Linked DNA regions of Danio rerio. The protein of the gene in region 1 purifies or fractionates together with the protein of each later gene. This does not show direct contact. Links are inferred from orthologs where the notes say so. Each region holds a gene or a part of one and is shown in the gene's direction. Other genes may lie near its edges. The genes, in order: parp1, dnmt1, aptx, wwp2, top2a, rpa2 and jun.

The links.
Region 2: the proteins of parp1 (region 1) and dnmt1 purify together in Homo sapiens (affinity purification with western blotting; 4 studies listed by BioGRID and IntAct, with this or other methods). This does not show direct contact. The link is inferred for Danio rerio from reciprocal best matches to the Homo sapiens genes PARP1 and DNMT1.
Region 3: the proteins of parp1 (region 1) and aptx purify together in Homo sapiens (co-immunoprecipitation; 3 studies listed by BioGRID and IntAct, with this or other methods). This does not show direct contact. The link is inferred for Danio rerio from reciprocal best matches to the Homo sapiens genes PARP1 and APTX.
Region 4: the proteins of parp1 (region 1) and wwp2 purify together in Homo sapiens (affinity purification with western blotting; 3 studies listed by BioGRID, with this or other methods). This does not show direct contact. The link is inferred for Danio rerio from reciprocal best matches to the Homo sapiens genes PARP1 and WWP2.
Region 5: the proteins of parp1 (region 1) and top2a purify together in Homo sapiens (co-immunoprecipitation; 3 studies listed by BioGRID and IntAct, with this or other methods). This does not show direct contact. The link is inferred for Danio rerio from reciprocal best matches to the Homo sapiens genes PARP1 and TOP2A.
Region 6: the proteins of parp1 (region 1) and rpa2 purify together in Homo sapiens (affinity purification with mass spectrometry; 3 studies listed by BioGRID and IntAct, counting the BioPlex papers as one, with this or other methods). This does not show direct contact. The link is inferred for Danio rerio from reciprocal best matches to the Homo sapiens genes PARP1 and RPA2.
Region 7: the proteins of parp1 (region 1) and jun purify together in Homo sapiens (co-immunoprecipitation; 3 studies listed by BioGRID and IntAct, with this or other methods). This does not show direct contact. The link is inferred for Danio rerio from reciprocal best matches to the Homo sapiens genes PARP1 and JUN.

Annotation. Positions count from the first base shown.
Region 1 is NC_133195.1:46,960,145-46,963,644, forward strand, and holds part of parp1 (poly [ADP-ribose] polymerase 1), read left to right. Parts: intron 1-968; coding exon 969-1,183; intron 1,184-3,427; exon of another isoform or gene 3,428-3,500. UniProt on the Homo sapiens protein: Poly-ADP-ribosyltransferase that mediates poly-ADP-ribosylation of proteins and plays a key role in DNA repair.
Region 2 is NC_133178.1:57,140,140-57,143,383, reverse strand, and holds part of dnmt1 (DNA (cytosine-5)-methyltransferase 1), read left to right. Parts: coding exon 1-118; intron 119-225; coding exon 226-418; intron 419-516; coding exon 517-607; intron 608-783; coding exon 784-915; intron 916-1,911; coding exon 1,912-2,194; intron 2,195-2,280; coding exon 2,281-2,422; intron 2,423-3,244. UniProt on the Homo sapiens protein: Methylates CpG residues. Preferentially methylates hemimethylated DNA. Associates with DNA replication sites in S phase maintaining the methylation pattern in the newly synthesized strand, that is essential for epigenetic inheritance.
Region 3 is NC_133176.1:55,999,141-56,003,266, reverse strand, and holds the start of aptx (aprataxin), read left to right. Parts: upstream 1-1,326; 5' UTR 1,327-1,393; intron 1,394-1,463; exon of another isoform or gene 1,464-1,487; 5' UTR 1,488-1,490; coding exon 1,491-1,620; intron 1,621-1,696; coding exon 1,697-1,743; intron 1,744-2,025; coding exon 2,026-2,079; intron 2,080-2,881; exon of another isoform or gene 2,882-3,134; coding exon of another isoform or gene 3,135-3,189; coding exon 3,190-3,387; intron 3,388-4,126. UniProt on the Homo sapiens protein: DNA-binding protein involved in single-strand DNA break repair, double-strand DNA break repair and base excision repair.
Region 4 is NC_133200.1:37,284,832-37,288,331, forward strand, and holds part of wwp2 (NEDD4-like E3 ubiquitin-protein ligase WWP2), read left to right. Parts: intron 1-83; coding exon 84-205; intron 206-3,500. UniProt on the Homo sapiens protein: E3 ubiquitin-protein ligase which accepts ubiquitin from an E2 ubiquitin-conjugating enzyme in the form of a thioester and then directly transfers the ubiquitin to targeted substrates.
Region 5 is NC_133187.1:11,266,770-11,270,269, forward strand, and holds part of top2a (DNA topoisomerase 2-alpha), read left to right. Parts: intron 1-1,247; coding exon 1,248-1,349; intron 1,350-1,444; coding exon 1,445-1,582; intron 1,583-2,499; coding exon 2,500-2,638; intron 2,639-2,721; coding exon 2,722-2,879; intron 2,880-3,500. UniProt on the Homo sapiens protein: Key decatenating enzyme that alters DNA topology by binding to two double-stranded DNA molecules, generating a double-stranded break in one of the strands, passing the intact strand through the broken strand, and religating the broken strand.
Region 6 is NC_133191.1:4,967,633-4,971,132, reverse strand, and holds part of rpa2 (replication protein A 32 kDa subunit), read left to right. Parts: intron 1-2,602; coding exon 2,603-2,716; intron 2,717-3,500. UniProt on the Homo sapiens protein: As part of the heterotrimeric replication protein A complex (RPA/RP-A), binds and stabilizes single-stranded DNA intermediates that form during DNA replication or upon DNA stress.
Region 7 is NC_133195.1:16,778,530-16,782,234, forward strand, and holds jun (transcription factor Jun), read left to right. Parts: upstream 1-1,345; 5' UTR 1,346-1,614; coding exon 1,615-2,541; 3' UTR 2,542-3,205; downstream 3,206-3,705. UniProt on the Homo sapiens protein: Transcription factor that recognizes and binds to the AP-1 consensus motif 5'-TGA[GC]TCA-3'.

The DNA of each region.
Region 1 (3,500 bases):
AAAGCACCCGCTGACTGCCTGGAGCTCATACGTGCACATAGGATGCAGCGCGCGCGCACGTGTGTGCGTGCGTGCATGTGTGTGTGTGGTTTCAACAGTGTAGTGTGGAAAGAGGAAACGCTAGATGAAACGCCTGTATGGACGTGGATCTGTTTTGTTCTAAAATGCCATTTTAAAACTAAGATGTATTAGTGTAAATGGGGTCTTTTTGTGAGCGGGTTGCTGCTGCAACAGGGGCGGGGCAGAGGATCATGATGTCAGCTTAGCATCGTGATGTCTGTCGACCATTGGCGATAGACGATGGCATCATCTATTGACCCAACCCTGATTTACATAGATAATATGGCCATGGTGTAAATGCACTCTACAGTTATGATCTTAATCAGTATACTTCTCTCTCTATATTTATATATTACGATATGAATACATTTTCAACAAATGACTTGAATATTTCTATTTGGAAAGAATTGATCATTTTAGATTGGCGGGGGTGATTCTGTATGTGAGGGCATCTGCATGAAATATAATAAACTATCTACAAGCATGGATAAATACAATGAAGAAAATTATACAAATTAAATAAACTGCGTTTTATTTATTTTAAACAGTGTCTTCAGATATACAGCAATTGAATAGTAATACTGCATAGTGTTCATTGTGTAAATAATTCAATAAAATGAATCATTGCATAAAGTTATACATAACACAAAGTTACAAACGGTACAATTTCTTATGCCTGAATGCCTTTAAAACCCTCATACTGTCACAGGCCTCAAAAACACATGCAAATGATGAATTATGATCCAGACTCTTGTGATGTGACTATTGCAAATGAACACATTGTGATATTGATGCTGAAACGATATACAGTATTGTGCAGCCCTAGTTCCACCCCTGCAAGTGTTCTATCTGAGCAGAAGTTGTAAAGATGTAAGTTTTTTTTGTTGTTGTTCCCTGATGATTTTCAGGACCAGATCCGTGTGTCGAAGAAGACTGTGGACCCAGAGAAACCTCAGCTTGGTCTAATCGATCGCTGGTACCACACCGGCTGCTTTGTGAGTCGTCGGGAGGAACTGATATTTAAACCAGAGTACAGCGCTGCCCAGCTCAAAGGATTCGCAGTTCTACGAGATGAAGACAAAGAGGAGCTGAAGAAACGGCTTCCTGCTGTGAAGAGCGAAGGGTGAGCTTTAGATTTATTGATATATTTTTTTTATCTTTATTTAACCAATAAGTCGATTGAGAAGAAGTTTACAATGACGACCTGGCCAAGAGACAGCATAACAATAATGCAAATGCAGATAATACATAATACAAAAGAAAAACTACAAAAAAGCACAGTTATCTTGTACTGTTAATTGGATTGTATTTTTAGTGGTTGATAATGTGAATAAAAGAATTGAGCTTTAAGGTCTGCTGCAGATGAGTCCAAGATGATTTGTCAAATTAGAAAACATGCACTGCTTCAAATCAATTCTCCTGTATTTGTCACACCATCATCATCATCTGCAGCAGCACAGGTGCTATGAGTGAAAAGCTTGCGTCCAGACAGTGCAAAATACAACAGCATACTTCAAAACAAAATACTATTTACAATAAATATGTAAAAGACAATACGTAGAAGAAAAACACACAGTGCACACAAATGTAAACACAAAATAGACAAGTACACAGTCAAAAAGTTGTACACATCTCTTGGCTATTGGTGGGTAAATATTGTAAGCAGTATTGTTTTATAAGTAAGGGTTCAGTTAAAGTGCAGTGCATGCTACATTATGCTGGTATGAATGCAGTGATGACTATGCAAAGAGTTTGTGTGGGGTGTGTCATTAGTCTGTGTGTTGAAGCTTTGTACTCTGTTTAACAACCTTTAGCGTTTTCAAACCTTATTTTCTTTTCATCTGTTGAACACAAAAGAAGATATTTTGAAGAAAGCTGAAAACCTGAATCCCAGGGGCGGACTGGGACTAAAAATCAGCCCTGGCATTGTAGCCACACCAGCCCACATTACCACACCGACACAGCCCCACCCACGGACACGCACATTCACTACTTATATTGGTGTACAGATGGTAACATTTTATAAGCAGTACCATATTTAAGAAATATTTACACATTTGATGTATGTGACTGGAACAAAAACGACCCATTTATATATGCAATCATGTCATAATTTTTTTTTTCGGATTAGTCCCTTTATTAATCTTAGAACCACCAACTTATCCAGCATATGTTTTACACAGCGGATGCCCTCAAAGCTGCAACCCATTACTGGGATAACCAATTCCCAATTGGACTACCCAATTCACCTATAGCATGTGTTTGGACTTGTGAAGGAAACCAGAAGGTAACCCACGAGAACATGCAAACTCCACACAGAAACACCAACTGACCCAGCTGAGGGAACCAGCGACCTTATTGCTGTTAGGCGACAGCGCTACCTACTGTGCCACTGCTCTGCCCCCTTTCGAGACTAGTTCAGTTAATTTTATGTATTTGGCATTGTCTGACTTGACTGCCTTTCCCTTTTTATGGTCCATCTCTGACAATTTGTTGCACTTACTGTGTGTTGGACATTCTTGGCAGATCTTGATTACGTCTGCGTAACCTCTGATTGGGTCGGCCCATCTCGAAACCAGCCTGTCATTGCCGATTGGGCCAATGCTTAAAATTGATTAATATTCTTACTATTATCATTATCATCATCATCATCATAATATTCACATCTTGCAAGAGATAAAAGCTGCTTACATGTAAAAAAAAAAAAGCAATACATATGAAAAAATAAAATAAAATAAATAGCTGACAGGCCCACATTTAAAAAATGGTCCGGCTCTTCTGGCATTTGCCAGAATTGGCCAGATGGCCAGTCCGCCCCTGCTGTATCCATTGACTTGCATGGTAAGAAAAACAAATGCTGTGGAAGTCGGTGGTTGCAGGTTTCTCAGTAGAACTTTACTTCAGGGCTCCAGGCTTTATTATATGATCGCACTGAGGCCAATTTGCTCACTTGGTCACACAAACTTACCATTTATTTTCACCCGTTTTTTTTTTTTATAGTAATTATAATGACCTTCCATATTGACGAAGCAGTAGAGTAAAACAAATAAACATTACTTTTTGAACCATGTTTGTGTTTGTGAACAGAGTTGCAAAACCAAAAACCACCCAGCTGCATGATACAGAGTCCAGACAGCCTAAACCAAGTTGTCTGTATAAACACACTAAGACAAATGATTTGCAGTTTTTTGTAATGGAATAATAAATACACATCGGACTCAGTGTGCAAGGTTTGTTTACGTGACATTTTTTGCAGATGGATGTGAAAAAAAAAACGCATGTGAATATTTCAGACTTCAGTGTGCAATGACCTTTCGCCTTTTTTCATCTTTTATTTTCAGCTTTTTTTCTCTTTAAGTGATTTTGTATCTATGCATTAATGCTGACGTCTGGATTGTTGTGCATCGTAAAAATATTATATTCTATATATCTCTAGAAAA
Region 2 (3,244 bases), on another chromosome or scaffold:
ATCTGGATGCTCCTCAGCCTTTCCGCATTGGGCGCATCAAAGAAATCTTCTGCAACAAGCGCAGCAATGGAAAGCCAGACACCTCAGAGATCAAACTGCGCCTCTATAAATTCTACAGGTAACTCTTTTATTCTCCGGAATGATTCCAACCAGTGCGTCTGATTTTGAGGTTGTACCTTAAGGGAGTTCAATACTATTTTTCTCCCCAAACTTGTTTGCTTTCAGACCTGAAAACACTCACAAGGGACCAAAGGGAGCATATCATTCTGATATAAACCAACTCTACTGGAGTGACGAAGAGGCGACCGTCAGCATGACTGAGGTGCTGACACGCTGTCGTGTTGAGTATGCAGAGGATCTGGTTGAAAGTGTGCAGGACTATTCAAACAAAGGACCCGATCGCTTCTATTTCCTTGAGGTAAGGATAAAATCTGGCTGTAATGGAGCTGCCAATGGTACTCGTAATGCAGCTGAAAATATTTTCTGCCATGACTTACCTAATGGTTCTTTTTGTAGGCATACAATGCCAAAACCAAGAGCTTTGAGGATCCTCCCAATCATGCTAGATCTGCTGTGAATAAGGGCAAAGGGAAAGGAAAGGGCAAAGGTAAGTCAAGTGTAATGTTGAAATAAGTAATGGAAACTTCTAGGTATGCTCTTGTGTTTTTTTTAAGCTAAAAATGGTCCATCGTGGATTCAAGATGGCTTAAATATCTGAACACAATCATAACTGCATGTGGGGAGAAATTGCAGCTTAAATGTTTGTACCATGGTTGTCTGTAGGAAAAGGGAAAGGGAAAGCAGCGCCTCAAGAACCACAGGATCAGGAGCCACAAGAGCCAGTGGTTCCCAAACTGCGCACTCTGGATGTATTCTCTGGCTGTGGTGGTCTGTCTGAGGGCTTCCATCAAGCAGGTTTGGCTTCCATTGAGTCTCTTTATAGAACCATGTTACACAATGTATTATTACTAGGGATGTAACTGTATTGTAAATACCGTCATACCGCAATATTAATTTTTTTTGATATTACCGAAGTCGCACGACTCAGTAAAACTATAGGTCTTCTGAGAAAATTTGCTCAGGCGAATGAAGCGAACGGGAGGTAGCGAAAACTACAATTCCCATCAGCCCATGCTTGACCATCATCCCTTGCGGTCTGTTGTCGCTACAGATCCAGTAATGCGGAAATAGAGTGTGCTGCTAGAAGCGGGGATGAAAAAAGAGCTGGAAAACTCTAAAGCGGGTGTTGTCGCCGCGTGCGTACTTAATAGCGGTGTTGTCGCGCGAGTTCTTATCAGCTGTGTTGTCGCGCGCGTACTGAATAGCGGTGTTGTCAGCACACTGTTCAGATTGATGCAGACATGAGACCTCTATCTTACTCATGGTTTGTCCTCTCAAGTGGGGGAAAGACAATGCACAACGTTACCCACTGCTGTCAACCTGGGCCAAGTCATATCTCTCTTGTCCCAGAAACCTCAGTCCCAAATGAGAGGGTTTTTTTCTGTTGTAGGGGACATTGTAAATACCCAGAGATACCAGCTTTTACCAGATTATATTTATGATAATTTTCGTTTAAACCCATCTCTATCTTAGTGAGTGAGTGATTAAATGTTGAATGTGATGAGTTTTCAACACTACTAAATTGAAACTTTATTTTTTTTTTACATGGTTTAATATTTTTTTTGTTATTAAAATTGAAGTTCCTGTTTCAAAGCTTACAGATAGATGGCTAATTTGTATGTCATTGACACTTTTGGCACTTTTTTGGAGTATTTTCATAAGTTTTGTTTTTTCCTGTAAATGATTCAATAAATACCGTACCGTGACGTTCATACCGAGGTATTACCGTACCGTGAAATTCTGATACCGTTACATCCCTAATTATTACTCATGCACCTTTTCTTATACCAGGCATCTCAGAGACTCACTGGGCAATAGAGATGTGGGACCCTGCCGCTCAGGCATTCAGGTTGAACAATCCAGGCACGACCGTTTTCACAGAGGACTGTAACGTCCTGCTGAAGCTGGTAATGTCTGGAGAGAAGACTAACTCTCTTGGACAGAAGCTGCCACAGAAGGGTGACGTGGAGATGCTCTGCGGTGGGCCGCCTTGCCAAGGCTTCAGTGGAATGAACCGCTTCAACTCTCGCACATACTCAAAGTTCAAGAACTCTCTGGTTGTTTCTTATCTGAGGTCAGCACAATATGAGACCTCCTGTAAAACATTTGGAGATGTGCTGCTGCAGAATGTTTACCATTTGTGTAAATTCTTTGTTTCAGTTATTGTGACTACTACAGACCCAAGTTCTTCCTGCTGGAGAACGTAAGGAACTTTGTGTCATTTAAGCGCTCCATGGTCCTGAAGCTCACACTGCGCTGTCTGGTGCGCATGGGCTACCAGTGCACCTTTGGTGTGCTGCAGGTGAGTTACTTTATTGTTTGCATGTTGTTCTTGAATATGTTATAGGCTATAGCACCAACTGTATGTTGATTTTAGTTTTTGAAAGGCTCCAGGTTGACTCGATTGTTTACTGAAAAATAATTCATGACCAATATGTAACCACTCTCAAGCCTCTCTCACCATAAAACCTAATTTATTAGAATATGAAATTTAAAGACCACTTGACAATTCACAGGGATACATTTTTAAAAACGTCCAATGTGCGCTCTGTTTACAAGCCCTAAAGACTGGTTTATACTTCTGTATAAACTTGCGTGGCTTTGCATTTATACTTCTGTGCACTGTCTCTGTTGGCCTGCATTAACACTTCTGAAACGCTAGTTGGCAGTGAGGTGTTAATGTTCCTGTGTTGAGTTTTTTCGCTGCAGTTTTGTTTTTTCTAAATGCTTCCTGAATGTACAAGTGACTCAAACTCGCTCATATTGAGGCAGGAACCGACAGACATGCAACAACTTTAACTATGAGGTAAACCCAAAACAAAACTTTCCATCCGGAGCTCCTTCACGGGACTCCACACTTGTAAACAATCGCTCTATCGGGTTTGCCGGGCTCTTGGTCCCACCCTGACCCGTCAGCGCTACCAAGCCGACCAATCACTGAGCTTGCGCTATGCATCGTACGATGTGTAGTTTACTTTTTTTTTTTGAGAGGTGGACGTCAGCCACGGCTTAGGGCTATGCGTCAACGCATAGGCTGGGCCGTAGCATACCCGTGCGCTTGACGCAGAAGTATAAATCAGCCTTAAGTTGTCATCAAGCTGAAACTTTATAAAATGGTTTGTAA
Region 3 (4,126 bases), on another chromosome or scaffold:
GCTTATATATATATATATATATATATATATATATATATATACATATATATATATATACATACACACAATTTTATTTATATACATATATATTATATATACATACATACACACACGCACGCACACATATTTATATATATATATATATATATATATATATATATATATATATATATATAATAATAAAATTGTATTATTTATTAAAACAATATAAAATGGATTCACTAACTGTCTAGGGATGTTGTTGTGTAATTTGCTACAATAAAATATCATTTTTTAATAAAAATAAAATAAAAAGTGGTCGGCTATTTTTTTTATCAATTTATTATTTATTAGGAACATAATAACTTGTGGTGAACTAAACGATGGTGCAGTGGGTAGCATGTTCGCCTCACAGCAAGAAGGTTGCTGGTTCAGTCTCGCCTGAATCAGTTGGCATTTCTGTGGAGTTTGCTTGTTCTCCCCCTGTTCGTGTGGGGTATCTTGACAGTCCAAAGACATGTGGTACAGGTGACCTGGATATGCTAAATCTGATCATAGTGTATGTGTGTGAATGAGTGTGTATGGATGTTTCCCAGAGATGGGTAGTAACCATGGGTAGTACCGCTGAGTAAAACATATGCTGGATAAGTTGGCGGTTCATTCCGCTGTGGCGACCCCTGATTATGAAAGAGAATAAGCCGAAAAGAAAATGAATGAGTGAATAATTACTTGCCTTAAAATAAAAACAAAATCCAAATAAATCAACAGTAGGAGCGTTTAAACTGTCTGCATTAAGTAACACTATTCTATACTCTATAAAATTAAACTCCATAAAGTGATGTTATATTATTTTTAAAGTGTAGTTACAGGAAATCTGTCCACAAACTCCACTAAATCTGACGTGTATACATCTACATCTGCTAGATACCTCATACTACATTCCTATATATTATTAAGACACTGTCACTTTATAATACTCATCATATGTACAAGCCTTTTATACTATATACTTTGCATTATAGTGTACTTTTTCCTCTTTATACTGTTTTGCATCTGCACAACTCTGGTTTGCTCTCCTTGCCTTGTGCCCTTAAGTGTAATTGTATCGTGTACAATTTTAATTTTTACTTATATTTTTAGATTATATTATATGTGTAATTGTATTTATTTTAATATCTTTTTTAAAATTCTACTTTTTGAATTAACATCATCTTTTTTGTATTAACATTATCTGTTAGGCACCTAGGTAAGATTAGTTCACGTCATCTTTCAGCCAGTAGTTGGCAGCAAGCGCGCATGACGTGCTGTTTGTTGACACCAACGAACAAGAGCGAGCGAGCGAGCGTCATGTGTTGCACTTTTATGTTTACGACTACCACACTTTTTTCTACCGTAGCTTTATTACACTAACACAGTAAGTAACGAACATAAGTGGGTTTTAGAAAAGCACCGTAGACTATATGTATACGCAATAGCATTATAACGTGTAATATGGTGTGTGTTTTCAGGAGATGCCTGTGTGTTTACTAGTAAGTGAAGATAATTCACACAAACCCATTGAGCTCCATCACCAACAGTCTGTGACTCTGGGTCGAGGACCAGACACTAAGATAAAAGACAAGAAGTGCTCTAGAGAACAAGGTATTTTTGCATATAAAAAGCAAATAAAAAAACGGCCTCTTTATTTTAGAAATACAACGTCTTTTCTTTTTTGCAGTTGAATTGAGAGCTGATTGCAACAGGGGATTTGTCACTGTTAAACAGGTCTGCTGGAGAATTATAATATCAAAGCAAATATTAATACAATATATACTGAGCTGAAATATATGTCAAATAATGCAAATTAGTTTTCAATACCACAAAAAAAAGTTTATTTCTTGGTGTAAAGTTGGTTTTATATTTTGACTTTCTCCTTTAATAATAAATTAAAATACTTGTTACTCACCAAAATGGATTTGAACCAGATATTTTATTATAACAGCCTTTTAGAAGTTAATTTATAAAACGTAATAACGTTTGAACCTGTTTATTTGATGTTTTTAATAGCTGGGTGTGAATCCGACACTTGTGGATGATGTGGTTGTGGGCAAAGGCAATCAGGTACAGTGTTTTTAAAATATTCTGAAAAAGTATTTAATATACGGACTAGGGCTGCACGATTCTGGCAAAAATGTGAATCACAATTTTTAAAATTTTTTTTTGCTTAAAATCAAGATCACGATTTTCTCACGATTCTGTAAATGTAAAATAAAGGTTAATAAGTTTAGCCTATTATTAAACATATGGTAAAACAACAACAACAATTATAGACCCATGTGTAGCTCTACTGTTGCTTAAAATGCAAAATTTTGTATAGTCATTATCCTAGACTTGAGCAGACTTCCAATATGTCCTGTTTGTTAATTCACAGTAACAGCATGACTTTATATTCTATACTGTACATTATTTCTGTTAAGTGACAAGACTGTTGTCTAAGCAAAGTCAGACCTTACTGTCCTAATGAAATCATTAAAAATCAAGGCATGATCATATTTTATTTTGGTAAAATAATCATAATTTAGAGTCATTTGCCTTTCATACAAACCAATTGTGATACTAAATGATCAACTATAAGTCAAATTATTACTTAACTTGGATACAAGACAAGATTTTTTTGAGGTAGTGTGTGTGTGTGTGTGTGTGTGTGTGTGTGTGTGTGTGTGTATATATATATATATATATATATATATATATATATATATATGTATGTGTGTGTGTGTGTGTGTGTGTGTATAGATATATTTATATGTATTTATGTATGTATATCTATGTATGTATGTACATATATATATATATATTTATATATATATATATATATATATATATAAATATAATGGTATAATATATGTAATTTTAATACAAGTTTTATTAAGTTAACACAAGGCAAAGTAAAAATGAAAATTGTACATTATTATTATAAACATCAGACACATAAACAGTAGTATTTGCTTCGATAAAATATTCTATGAACACATTTACAACATCTAAAATGCCAAGTATTTTTTATTTTTTTTTTAATATCTGATAAGATGCAATTATTATTTTATTCAGCTTCTAGCAAACCAGCTGTGTCGATAATTGTCCGGTTGTCTTGTAATTGAGGCTGTATTGCACAGGTCTCTGGTCTGCTTAACATCACACAAACCAAATGTCGCCCACCTCTGCAAGCAGGTGAGCATAAAGCCGGGTCAGAGACTCTACATGGTCAATCAGCAGTATCCTTACAGTGTGAAGTTCACGGAGGACACGTCCAGATCCAAACCCTCCAAAAGAGCCCAGCAGATCCAGAGCCCTACAAAAACAACAGCAGATGTGTCAGACAGCCCACCTCCACCCAAAAAAACAACACCACCTGCTGGTGAAAAATCGGTGAGTTTCTTTTAGATGTATAGGTTGGGAAGTTTCAGTATTTATGCAATAGGAGTATACAGTGCTCGGCATAAATGAGTTTGCAAAATGAATATTTTTATCAATTTCTCAGTGAATATATGTCATATTTTGGTGCATTTGACCAAAACAGATTTATTAAACAGATATATGTATTGAAATAATATTTTAGTCACTGAACATCTGTAGTAATAGAAAGATAAAACATGCAAAAACAATTACAAACTACAAAAATTTCAACAAAATTGTATATATTTATTTGTTTATTTTGTATATAATATTATTTTAGATTTATTTTTTCAATGTGTATGTAATATTTTCCCCTAGTATATACATTTGTTTTTTTTTTGGAGTGTTATCATAAGTTATTTTGTTAGATAAGCTCCAGATTTCGGTACTGAATAATCTATAATATAATATTGTAAAGCTTCCTAGAGAAAATATGAATTCAAAAGAGAGATCTGTGAGATATTTTACTCATATATGCTCTATTATAATGGTTGCACTTAAAGTTTTCATTAAGTAATGTATTTACCAACATGATCTAATAATGAACAATAATTGTGCATCATTTATTAATCACAGATTTACTAGATTATTATTAAAATGCAAATTCATTCTTGTTAGGATTAGTTAATGTACTGAGTGAACTATGAAAAACTGTATTTCTATCAACTAAAATGTAACAAAGATCAATAATACTGTTATAAATGTGCTGTTT
Region 4 (3,500 bases), on another chromosome or scaffold:
GTGTGTGTGTGTGTGTGTGTGTGTGTGTGTGTGTGTGTGTGTGTGTGTGTGTGTGTGTGTGTGTGTGTGTGTGTGTGGTGCAGGAACGTGACTCCTCAGAGTCGTCTGGATCTGAAGGTGTGGAGTTGTCACACTTTGAGGAAGGAGCTTCTGGGCAGCGCCACCATCGACTTGTTGGACACTCTACGAACACATGATGGCAAGAGTGAGTTTAAACCCACACAAACACACACGGATACTCACTCTCACATGCACTGACACACGCTTGCACACTAACTCTCACAGACAAGCACAGATGCAGAGATCTGTTTGTTGGTTTAGAGCAGGGGTCACCAATCCTGGTCCTGGAGGGCCGGTGTCCCTGCAGGGTTTTGCTCCAACTTGCCTCAACACACCTGCCTGGGTGTTTCAAGTATACCAAGTAAGAGCTTGATTAGCTCGTTCAGGTGTGTTTGATTAGGGTTGGAGCAAAAATCTGCAGGACACCGGCCCTCCAGGAACAAGTTTGGTGACCACTGTTTTAGAGAAATAATGACAGATTATGGCAGAGTTTACGCTGCAGGGTTTAAGTGACTTAATTCAGATTTTTTTTTTTCTGCATGTGGCACAGATCGGATATGAGAGCGAGAGCACTATCCACCACATAACCAATGTAAACTGATAAAACTATTGCATGCATCACGTGCACATATTACGCCATGGACATGACATTAAGATGCCTACTCGTTTAAAAAGGCCTAGATTAAAAGAAGATGGCCAAATCTTTTCTGTCAAACTATTGGAAAGCAACTTGTCAAAAATAATAATAAATAAATGAAACTCTGCAAACAGATTAAATAAAAGAATAGAGAAAAGAGCGCTTTTTCATTATCAGCTGTCAGTCAGCGTCCGAATTTTTTTTAATTATTTTTTTTTTTGCGCAGTGTAAATGCAGAGAACCGTTCAGGAGTCACTTCTAAAAGATGATGTGAGCAGAAATGAAAAAAAAATCACATACAGTCACAATCGTATTGACCATCAAGATCTGCAGTGTAAGTGCAGCCAATGTAATGAGTGAACCTTTTTTTTTTTTTTTTTTTTTTCCCCACTTGATTTAAAGGCCTCTCGAGGTGCGTGAGGAGCAACTTCACTAATATCTGAGAACACTGACCCTGATGCTCTTTATTAAATAGATTGATTTGTTTTAAGTTCTGGGAATAACGGTCTGTTGTGCAGGTTTGGTGTGTAATTAATACTGGAGTGTTCTGATATGATCCGGAAGGGTTTAGCAGATCACTCCGCGCGGTTAGGCCCAGAGTTTTTTTGGGGGTAAAGTGGGTAAAGATGTTTCTGAGTCAGTTTTGTGCTTGCAGAAAAGCAGAGAAATGCTGCGTGATGGCGTTTTTAAGACTGTCAGCCTTATTTCCTTAGTTTGGGCTTTTTCTGTTTATTGGCTTATTTATTTTATTTGTTTTGTTTGGTGTGTTTTGGTCAAAGAAAAGAAATCACCACTTTAATGTTTGCAAACTTTTATAGCTATAAAACCAACAATCCATCTATAAAAACACTGTTAACAAAAGTAATATTGTTAGTATTGTTCAGTTCAATTCAGCTTTATTTGTATATTGCTTTTACAATGTAGATTGTGTCAAAGCAGCTTCACATAAATGGTCATAGTAACTGGATCAGGGTAGTTCAGTTTTTAGTGTTTAAGTTCAGTTTTAAGTTCAGGTTAGCTCAGTTCAGTGTGGTTTGAAATCATTACTGAGTCCATACACTGAAGGGTAAATTCATTGAGTAGCTTTTCAGATCCTGAACCATGCAAGCCAGTGGCGACAGCGACTTATCATCCTTACAATAACATTTGTTTCAAAGTTCTCCCTGTATTTATGCATTTATGTTTGTTGTGAATAAATTTTAGTTTATACTTTTTAAAACTTATGGTAATAAAAAAAAAAAAAACCACACACACACACACACACACACACACATCCAAGAGCAAACATTCCCAATAAATTCCAAAAAGTATTACTTTTTTTGGTCGTTTAGTTTTTTGAAACAAGTAGTAACACATATTTAATATTTTGAGAGATTTACAGTAAGAATAGTGATTTGAAATACTGAGAATAAAGCACTATAATAAGTTCTACGAATATTTCAACAATGCTCTGATTAAAATAAAGCATTATTTTGGAATTTTCTCTCAGCTTCAAAATGTCCTTTTTTTTTTTTTTTTTTTTAAATAGTTTTTGAAACTAAAACATATATATTTATTATACATTTTATATATAAAACTATGTTTTGACACTATTTAAAATGTGGCTTAAATTTCAATTTTTTTAATAGGGCATGTAAATTATCCACTGCCCATTACAAAGAAAAATGTTAAAGTTTTGTTCTGCAAGTCTTAAAAGGTCTTAAAGTCTTTGTGAAACCTGCAGAAAGCCTGATATAGAAAGCACTTTGAATTAATGCGTGGCTTTTTTTTTTAAGGTTTCAAATGGGTTATGTGATTTTTTTTAAATGTCAAAATATCCAGGAAATGATATTCCAGCTGTACACTTATTTCTGTTCTGATGAAAGCTCATACTTTTCTCTGACGTGTTCCTACTGAAATGTATTTAAAGTTTGATCATATTTGAAATCATGAAAAGCTTCATCAAATGGGTCCACAAATAAAAAATCTTTAATCTTTTATAATGTTCAGCAAATTGAGTTTTGCTATGAAAAATGTTTTTGTTGCTAAAGCACCTGTGATGTTAACATTAAAATAGAACCTGTGAAAACAAATGACAAATCAGAGACTAAAAACAAAAACGAAACAACAGTATATTTAACAGTCAAGATTTAAGCTTTCCTTTATTGCAAATTAGGATTCAGTGTGTGTATGCACGAGCGTGCATGAGTGCGTGTGTGCATTCATGTGCGTGCATTGGAGTGTTTGTGCACTTGTTCATTGCGTTCGTGTGTGCAAGTGCTTGTTCGTGCGTGTGCATGTCTTCATGCATGTACATTCGTGTGTGTGCGTGTTCGTGCATGTTTGGGTGTGCATTTGCGCAAGTGTGTGTTTGTGCACGCATGCATACGTGCATGTTTGTACATGTTTATGCATGGGCGTGCATGTGTGAGCGTATGCGTTTGTGCATGTTAGTGTGTGTGTGCGCATTGATGTTTGAGTGAGCACAAGCGTATGAGCATTTACGTGTGTGCGTACATGCATTTGCATGTGTGCGCATGTGCATACATGTTCATGTATGCGTGCGTGTGCATACATGTTCAAGCGAGTGTGTGTGCATGCATGTGTTTATAAGCACATCACTAATGTTTTTATTGGTCTACCTTTTTTTTTTTTTAATGACAGGCATCAATGTATTGTTCTGCTAGTGCTAAACAATTAGTTTCATCGCCTAATTCACATAATACCCCCCCTCTCTTCTCTCTCTCTCTCTCTCTCTCTCTCTCTCTCTCTCTCTCTCTCTCTCTCTCTCTCTCTCTCTCTCTCTCTCTCTCTCTCTCTCTCA
Region 5 (3,500 bases), on another chromosome or scaffold:
AATCAGGTTTTAATGAGGTCTTAAATTTTGTTCAAGCGTTGTCTAAAGTGTTTAACTCCAAAAAAGCATAAATGTATTCATTTTCCTTGATCCTTGCAATTGGTTTGAGCCAAGGCACGTTTAGCCAAGCTCCTCCATTCGGGTGACGTCATGTAATTTGCGGCAAACATGGAAAGGTGACGTGACACTTTCCACATATAGCGAACCCATAGAGTGGAACAGATAGCAAAATGGGAAAATGTAAGTTTGAGTACTTCTGATTTGAGAAAGATGGGTTTAAACAGTGGCTGAAGCCTGTCGCCAACAAAACAATCACGTTTGTTTCTTCCAGGCTTCTCTGAGTTTTGTTACACGGTTGTGCTTCATTGATTTATTGAACTACAACTGTTTATTAATATCTGTTTATTAAGGTCAAAGTTTAATATGGATTAGGACTTAGTGGCAATGAAGTCTTAATATATTCTAAGAAGGTCTTTAAAAAGTCTTAAAAAGGTATTAAAATTAACTTAAGGATTGCTGCATATACCCTGGTAATGTATTCAGATGAATAAACAGCCTTTTCAAAACTGTTCAAAAATGTTTTTTTAATAAATCTTCAATCAAACAGATGCGTCACATATTCTAAACCAGATCTATTGATTATTTAATGTCTACAAAATATAATGTAGTGTGTAAAGTTTTTTTGAATTCTTTTATTTGCTAGCAGTGGTTGGAAGGGAGGGATTTTAGCGTATCTTGCCTAAGCTGTCAATCATCTGACAAGAAATGCCATTATAAAGTGAAAGCAAATGTGTAGAATATGTATAAGATAATGTAAGTTGTATAAAGTTAGCTTTTTTTTGTAGATTTGGTGACTTTAATTTAAAAATGTATTAACATAAATAATAATTGGGTAAGCTAAAAGTGTCTGTAGTGTATATGTGTGAATGAGGGTATGAGTGTTTCCCAACGATGGGTTGCAGCTGGAAGGGCATTCACTGCGTAAAAACATGCTGGATAAGTTAGTGGTTCATTCCGCTGTGGCGACTCCAGATTATTAAAGGGACAAGCTGAAAAAAAAATGAATAAATGAATTAACATAAATATTTAATAAGGTACATGCATACAGTAAAGTTTCGTTGTGACAAACCAAGTCAATTTTCATTTTAAAAAGTCAAAAGCCAAGTTTCTTTCAGTTCAGTTTTAAAGCAGCCCTACACAAATCGTTTTTCAGCTTCATTTGGTCATTAAAATGCTGTGTGTTTCAGGGTGGCAGACACACAGACTATGTTGCAGATCAGATTGTGTCCAAACTGATTGAAGTAGTGAAAAAGAAGAACAAGGCTGGAGTAGCCGTCAAACCTTTCCAGGTACATTCAGATGTTCTGCAAACTGCATCAAATAGTATTGCCTTCTCATGGCATTCTAAATTAATCACCATGTGCTGGTTTAACTTTGTGTGCAGGTCAAGAACCATATGTGGTTGTTTGTGAACTGTCTGATAGAGAACCCCAGCTTTGACTCCCAGACGAAAGAGAATATGACCTTGCAGCAGAAGAATTTTGGTTCTGCCTGCTCTCTGAGTGACAAGTTTGTTAAGCAGGTAAGAACTGATTTCTCGATCATTCATTGCTGTAAAAAATCATGGCATAATGGGTGAGAGTTTAGAGTTAATATAAATATGTTAGACGTATTTTACTGGTTAGTGCATGTTACTTGAGTTTTTTCAACACATTATTACCATAAAACAAAGAGAATGGGATTTACATGCAAAACAAACTTGACAAAATTACCCTTAATGTTAGAAAAGATTTCAACAAATTCTCCAACCAGTGGAACCAGTGGTTTCTCCCACATGCTCTTATTTGTAAAATCATTTTAACTATCAAGCATGTTTTATTTGAGTGTGTTGGCTTTACTTCAGTGAGGAAGGTATTTCATTTAGTTCATTTATTTGAAGTATACATTTTTAGCAACTTTTATAGTTTTAGCAAAAATAGTGTAAAACCTTAATGTAATCAACAACTCCAGCATACTTTTTCTCACCATAAAAATGGCCATGGAAGGTGAAGTGGTGTTTTAACATAACAAATCTTACCATCAATCTCTTAATAGCCTATTAGTTATATATTTAACAACCCAAAAACCTTAATACTGTTGTGTTTTGTTTCTCACTTAATGTATTCACTTTATATTGCAATGCATTAACAATTAATTGCAATTTAATTACTCAACTTTGTATCACTAAATCAGGGTTTTGCTAATGGTGGTTAAAGATATGTTTAAGTTGCAGTCAATTTGTCAACAGTGAAGTCATGACTTAAAATCAGAAAGACTTTCATTTGATCAGCTCAATAAATTTGTAATACTTGAATATGTCAAATATGTGTAGAACTTTTTTTGCTCTGCCACAAATCTTCCAGTTATGATTCCTGTATGACTGCCCTTGGATTTTGACTACTGTTAGTGCAATTGAACTTTTAAAGCTCTAATAAAATCCTAATCCATCTATGTCTGCAGGCTAATGGGTGTGGAATTGTGGAAAGCATTATGAACTGGGTGAAGTTTAAAGCCCAGGCTCAGCTCAATAAGAAATGCTCAGCTGTCAAACACACGAAGATTAAAGGAGTACCTAAGCTGGATGATGCCAACGATGCAGGTAACAAGAGGTTTGTTGTAATGTTAAATGGTCACGACACCTTCAGCCTGGATGTTCATTGCCGGGTGCTTTGTTTGTTTTAGGTGGAAAGAACTCCAATAGCTGCACTCTAATCCTGACCGAAGGAGACTCGGCCAAAACTCTGGCCGTGTCGGGTCTGGGTGTTGTGGGACGTGATCGATATGGTGTCTTCCCTCTGCGTGGTAAAATGCTCAACGTTCGAGAAGCTTCACACAAACAGGTCAATGACTAAAAATTAATCACTTTCATTTTTAGTTACATACCCCACAAAAGTTATTGAGAGAGAGAGCAAGAAAAAGAGGGGTTCCTTTCAGAAGAATTCCTCCATATGCCCTAATCCCTTTGTAGGATCCCTTTTGAAGGAACTGGAGCCCTTCCAAATTTAATGCAGTGTGCGACTCTAAACAACTTCCCTCCTCAAAGAATCATGTGGGCCAATGTATCTATCAGTTGTATTTTTCAAAAACACCAAATCCAGCACTTAGAAGTGGCCATTTTTGAGCACTTCAGTTTTGAACGACATTTCGGAGGGGTAATTCTATCGCCTTTTGGATGGCACTGTTTGTAAAACACTCATGCCATCAGGCTCACTTCGCTTATGGCTCTCTTACGCCACCCCTACACTATTCACCGATGCCAAGCTGACCAATTACAGATCTTACGCTACATGTCTCTTTGTGTACTTAATTTTTTGAGAGATGTGGCATAACGTATGGCTAAGGGTGTGCGATTGTTTAAAGATTGCGCTTCACTCTGTGCAGAACTATGAATTAGCCTTAAGCAGTGTACCATGGTCTTTTACTTAGCAAATTATAAATTTGAGACCAGCAATAATCAAACT
Region 6 (3,500 bases), on another chromosome or scaffold:
AGAGCAGGGTGTACAGAGGGGGTCAGTAGGCCGTCTGATCCAGGGGACTGGCTACTGACAGACAATACTGATTAGAAAATTACAAATTGTATATCAGGATAGCAAATTTAGATGCTAATTTTTCAATATGCATAAACTAATTTGAAAAGGATGGTAAACATAGTCTAATACCTGCTTCTATAACAGAACAACTTTCTCTTTCAGTCGGAAAAATATCTTCACACTTTCGTTACGAAAACACTGATGCACTGTCTGAGCTCCGTAGCACTCTTCGGAGGCGGAGCAAGTGGAGCTTCAAATCATCCAGTCTGCTTGGTGTGACTTATTATTAGTGTTTTTGAGTATAGACGTCTGTGACTGTAGTTTTCTCTGTGCTGATGGTTTATGTGCATCATATTCATGTTCTGTTAGTGTAAGTAAACCTCTTTTTGCAGTATTTGCACACACTTTGTGTTTTGTCTGGTGCACTTCAATGCTGTCATTTTACTCTGCCGCCCCACCTCTTGCTCGCCGCTGACATGCCAGTACAGCGGTATATGTGTGAACCTACACTGGTTTCATGGTTCGGTTACGATTATCATGCCATCGGTTCGGTTAAATTCCATATCACTGTTCATTGACGATGCTTTCCATACAAAATTTGATATTTTACTTAACAGCACAAGAATTCTTTTCTAAAAAATGTATAAATATATTTATATTTCTATACTATTTGTAATACAGTTTTGTCCTTCAATACAAAGTCAGAACTGTCCTTTTAAAAACTCGAGTACATGCACAGAACAACATGAGCATTTATAGCAAATGAACAAATGTAAATATCCTGCTCACTTTATGAGCCCTGTCGAGTAAGTTCTTAAACCCCTATGATTGGTCACGCACTCAACAGAAAGGGCTGCGATTGGCTCTAATGCTCTGGTGCTGTTCACCGTTGAGTGACGTTGATAACGGCATCAGCGATTTACAGCTGATCCATGACTGATGCAGAGGATAAAACTCTTCTGCAGACACACTCGTGTCTGAAGCGCTGTAACTGCCAAGAGGAGAGGAAATGTCTTGCCACCAGGTGAAATGGCAACATTGAGGGAGAGAAATTAAGGCCCAATCCCAATTCTATTTTTGTACCCCTTTCCCCTGGTCCTTACAAGTGAGGGTTAAGGGGAAGGGCTTTAAAATTTACCCCTAAGAATTAGGACAGCACCTGCACACATCATCATGTCCTCGCGATCTCTTGCTTCATATGAGATCAGATGATGGCGACTGCTGGAGTGATTCCAGTTGTGTTATTTATTGGTATTTATCTTCAGGAAATCACTGAAGGCATATATTATGTTATCATAATGATCTAATGTGGCAATGAGATCGTAATACTGTGCATTTACACAGTGGCCATGTTCATCAATGTAAACACACCAAAAACAGCATGAACATTATAGCAGACACTGTAAAAAGCCCATTCCCAGCCATTAGACTTTTCTGACAGGGTATTCCAGTGTCATCGAGTGTCAGAGTGTTGTGGGTCTGCTGTACTGAAGTTATTATTAGGAATTATAGATCGCAAAAAAAATCACAAAATTTAGCAGTTTTTATTTTAGCCCTTTTTTTTTTTTAAGCATGACGGTAAAACATGAACGCGGTTAAGAATATATTAAGACGTGTTTGTTTGTTGTAAAAATTCGTAATAATGACAAAAAAAAATACAAATTTGTGGATCTCCTTACTTCCGGGTGCAGCTGTTGCTGGGGTATTCTGGGAAATGATTCTTACCTCTTGGTTTCTAGTGTGGTCCTAAAAAATCTTTGTTTGAAGGGGTTTATACCCCTTGCTCTTAGCCCTACGCCTTCAAGCTAAAGAGAATTGGGACACCCCTACCCCTTCGAGGGCATACGCAAAACGAGGAGTAGGGGGAAGGGCTAAGGGGTAGAATTGGGATTGGGCCTACGTTTACTTTTATTTTCTCAATCGCAGTGAAATAGGAGCTTCTGCTGTAACTTCAGTCACAGTGAAAGACTGTCCAGCAAACACACACACAGTGAATTGTGCCATTTCTGTGTTTTTAAGTAGTTGGAGCATTTTAATTACTCGCCTCCCTCGCCATAGTAAACAACCACAATCGCAGTAAGCGCATATGAGATAAATACGTAATAACCGGTTATGATCTATTACTAAACCATTACCGAATTTTCCACGTCTGCATTGCGGTGAACAGAAGAAACAATTAATTTTCGCTATAAAGCGAGTTTGTGCCTTTAAACACAACGCCCCCTCTGTTCACAAAATGCATAATGATTAATTCCACATTTCTACCAACTTAAGTCGTCACATATTTAAAGCGATTTTTGACCGGCTTACGGTGAATCGTTACATCGCTAATACTATGACAATCAATGGTTACAGTGTTTCAGCTTTCTTCGGTTATGTCTTTGTGTTCAACAATAGAAACTCAAACAGGTTTAAAACAAGTGAAGGATGAGTAAATTTTTAGTTTCGGGTGAACTGTCTCTTTAACACAAACAAAAGCATCAATAGCAATGCAACACTGCATTGTTATCCTTTTTATACTTCTGTTTATTAGACTCATGTTGTGCTTGATACGGTGTAGGTGACCATTGTTGGTGTGATCCGAAGCACGGATAAATCCACAATCAACATCCAGTACAAGGTGGATGACATGACTGCAGCCCCTATGGATGTCAAGCAGTGGATTGACACAGAGGTACTGTTGCAGTGTTTTTGTGCATTGTGATTTTAGGCCATAGATATGAGTAGTGCTGGGAGGTATGTCAAGTTCTGGGGATATATTGATATGTTTCCCCAACGCAATGCAGGATTATTTAATATCTTTCGTATCAATATGGTTTGAGGTCAGTCATGCAATGCACACCACTCCAAGGGAGCACACGACATGGTCAACACAGAAAATGTACTGGTCAGTTAAAAGATAAACAATAGGTCACTTATCTAGAGATGGTTCGGATTCAAATTCTGGTGTATACTTTTCCTAAAGAATGCACTGAGCATCCAGTATTATGCCCCCCCTTGAGCATTACGGAGCGCAAAAAAGATCTGAGCTGAAGGAGGGTAGAAAAAGGCAGGGGATAAGATGATCAATTAGTCCCCAAAAGAGAAACACAGACTTTTTTTGGTGTGGTCACAAAACACTCTTAATATGTTAGGTTCCTGTTTGCGTATAGTTATGAAAATGAATACATGGGGAATATCTGCTCGCAAAGTGAGCATATTTCACACACAAGCATTCATTTCATAAGTGCATATTCGTTACATAGCCCTGATAGACAATATAGACTTATAAATTTGTAATGTTTCTGAAAGCTTGATTTAATGTTTAAGCATTTGGTTTCATGAGAGAACTGACAATGTTTTAGTACTCACATCTGAACCATAATTATTCACACACGCACATAGAGAATGCCGAATATCTTGATGCAGAATAGGTTGGAGGACAAGTTTTAAATCGTTTATATAAGGCTAAATAGAAT
Region 7 (3,705 bases), about 30 Mb from region 1:
AAACAGTAGAATCAACCATATTTTAATGTACTCATAACAAAAACTAATTAATAAAATAAACAATAATAAAAACGACCATTCTTGCAAATGTCCATCTCAACATTACCTGTATATTTATCTTACTAATGTTGTTATAAATACAAATAAACTAGCTATTGTGTCTTTACATACGTTTAAGCAACGTCAGTAAAAATCTCAGAAAGTAAACTGAAACGTCACTTGTCAGCTGTCACGCTATATTCGATCAGTTTGTGGTTGTGGTTGACGCAGTGACGTTTAACAGGGTTGTTTGCACTTTTGAGAGGATCTCTAGGGACTGTCACGGATACGGCGGCTGGACTTTGTGGCACGCTGTCACTCCACAATAAGAAACGCCCCCATTTTTAGACCATTGGCTGACGGAGCAAATGCACTTTGGCATAAAAAAGCAGACTATAGCCCTGTTTCTTCGTGCCAGATTAAATTATGTATGCCTGTATAACACTGAGGTTTTTAAACTAGGGTTCGGGGACCCCCAGGGGGCCAACAAGGGAGTGCTGGAAGTGAAGAAGAGTAAAATTAGCAAATACTAATTAATTCATAATATATTTCAACGACTGATTAAAAAAAAATACTTTTAATCAGCTAATCTAACATTATATTCAAACAAAATGAGTAACATCAAGTTATGCTTATTTAATTTATTATTTCAGAAGGCATTTCTTCTATTTTTTTTTCGTTTTAAATCTCCCTCAACATTTTATTGTAAGGTTGGAAATTAGTTTCACTGACTCCAAACTGTATTTCTAATATATATTTTTTACCTTACTGATGTATATGCAATACATTAAACTGGATCCAGAGAGTGTTTGGAACTTGCTGTTGTTAAAGAATGGCCGCGTCTTGCGAAACTCGCGCAAGAATTGGTCAACTCTCAAACATACAGCGGCACACATTTATTCTGCCTCTTCTTCTCAAACTTATAGTAAAGTTTAAGTTCTAAAAGTGGCGCGTTGTACATTACTCTGCTTCTTTGTATCCCGCCACGGTCTAAAACAGCTAAGCGGGTAACCAGATATTCAAAAACAATACGTAATCCCACAATGCACTGCTTTACAGCATTACCTCATCCCATCAGGCACCGCGAGTAGAATCTTCTGGGTGGTCGTCTAGGCAACGCGCCTTATCTGAAATTGTGACACGCCCAGTAAAACGCCTCCAGCCAATGAGAGGCTGCGCGCATTACATCATTTCTATTTTTAGTGGGGCAGCGGTAGCAGATAAGGTTTGCCTCCACGCTGGAGAAGCTCAGAGTATACAGACCTCGCCACAGTGAAACACCTCACTCAAACCAACATAAATAAGCCTTCGGCTAAGCACTGTTTATCTGCTGGTGTCTGAGAAGCGCGACAGCGGCGGAGGAAGAACTTTCTATCCGCGGAAGGCAGGAGGAGACGAGCCCGTGACACTGGCGATAACTTTACGCAGTAAGTTTCTCGCGGGACGGGGAGTTGAGGAACTTTTCCAATCCTCTCGCTTTTGTTCCAAACACCGCAGCGCTCGTTACTGAACGCGGACAGTGCTTAACAGCGCCTAAAAGACTGCTTCTGAACTAAAAGTTTCGCTTTGCCTTCTATGTCTACCAAGATGGAAACTACTTTCTACGATGACTCTCTAAACAGCGCTTTCTCTCAGCATGACAGCGCCACTTTTGGATACAACCACAAGGCTCTGAAACACAACATGACGCTCAATCTGTCCGACCCCGCGGGGAACCTAAAGCCCCACCTGAGGGCCAAAGCCAGCGATATCCTCACTTCTCCCGACGTGGGACTTCTCAAACTGGCATCACCGGAGCTGGAGAGGCTCATCATCCAGTCTAGCAACGGCATGATCACCACGACGCCAACTCCGACCCAGTTTCTGTGTCCCAAGAACGTGACGGATGAGCAGGAGGGGTTCGCGGAGGGCTTTGTGAGGGCACTGGCTGAGCTGCACCACCAGCACATGCCCAACGTCACCTCGGCTCCCCAAACTACTATCAACAGCAGCATGGCACCGGTCTCGTCCATAGCGGGCGGTGCGGTCTACAGCTCAGCCATGCGCGCTGATCCGCCGGTTTACGCGGATCTGAACACGTTCAACCCTGCTATCAGCAGCAGCTCGGCCAATCCAGCCGCGATGAGCTTCCCGAGCGCACCACCGCAGCTGCCCGTCCAGCACCCGCGCCTCCAGGCCCTGAAAGAGGAGCCCCAAACGGTGCCCGAGATGCCCGGCGAGACCCCACCGCTCTCTCCTATCGACATGGAGAGCCAGGAGCGGATTAAAGCCGAGAGGAAGCGCATGAGAAACAGAATCGCCGCGTCCAAATGCCGGAAGAGGAAACTGGAGAGGATCTCCCGGCTGGAGGACAAAGTCAAGACCCTGAAGTCGCAAAACTCGGAGCTCGCGTCCACCGCCAACATGCTGCGCGAGCAAGTGGCACAGCTCAAGCAGAAAGTCATGAACCACGTCAACAGCGGCTGCCAGCTCATGTTGACACAACAGCTGCAAACCTTCTGAGGAGAGCCGAAGGACATTTTGAGTTCAGCCACATAAACAAACTTCAGGGGCTTGATGTCTGCGATCTGGCGCGACAGAGCCCGCGGGGACCGGGACCGTCCGGCCGGCCGCGTGCCGTTAAAGGATGATCCGACTGGACTTTTGAGGAGCGCAAAACTTCACTCGGTCCGACAGAGACGCAGAGCGCATGAGACTCACTCTGTTACATGTTTTACTTTCTGACGAAATCCTTGTTCACATCGACCAGGTTGTGCATGGACCTATACGCTTCAAAGGAGCACTCAGTATTATAGGAGTAAAACAGAGACGCGACTGCCGTACAGTAGGGATACTGGCTCACCAAGCAGGACGTTGTGTCTGCTAAACTTTTGATAAAAAAGCTGCCTGACTTCTGAGCTACATATTGTACTTTTTTTGTTGTTCTTAAATTGAACGGAAATCGACTTTTTTCCTTTTGAGTTAGTCCAACTTAAGCAGTTTCTTTTTCTAAAAAAAAAGTTCATTAATGAGGTTTCACTCATTGTTATTTGTAAATATGATCAACCAGGAGTACTTAAGTTTACCATTTGTAAGTAAAGTACAATAATTTTTTATGTTTGTTTTCTGAGCACCTCAGAAACTAATCAATATTTATGAACTGTAATAAAGTATGTCAAATGAAAAACAATGTCTCTGTTGTCTTAATGGAAATGACGCTTGTGTGTGTATGTGTGTGTGTGTTCAAATTGACAAACATGTAATAACATGTTTTGGAAGAGACTGGCTGTTTTGTAAAGTCCACAGACAGGACTGGGAAAAAAGGGTGTCAAAAAACATCCTTACAGTAATTAAAAATAATAACATTATAAATACATGCTTAATTGCTAAAGGTTAAATGCAAACTTAATATAACATTTTTACATCAAAATAAAGCAGACACATAATTTGATTGACTCTTTAAATCAGTAATGCTGAAATTATCAAGTAATTATCACACAGTCAAGTACTAAATAGACCAATGCCTTTAATCATGGCCTCATTTTTGTGTCAACTGAAACAAAAGTTTATTAAGGTTAGTGTTAGCCTGCAAATATGTTAAAAAAAATTGTAGAAGTTGAAGATGTATACAAGTTTTAACAATTTAACCAGCAACAATGACTTAATATTAAATTAATAAATGGTTGA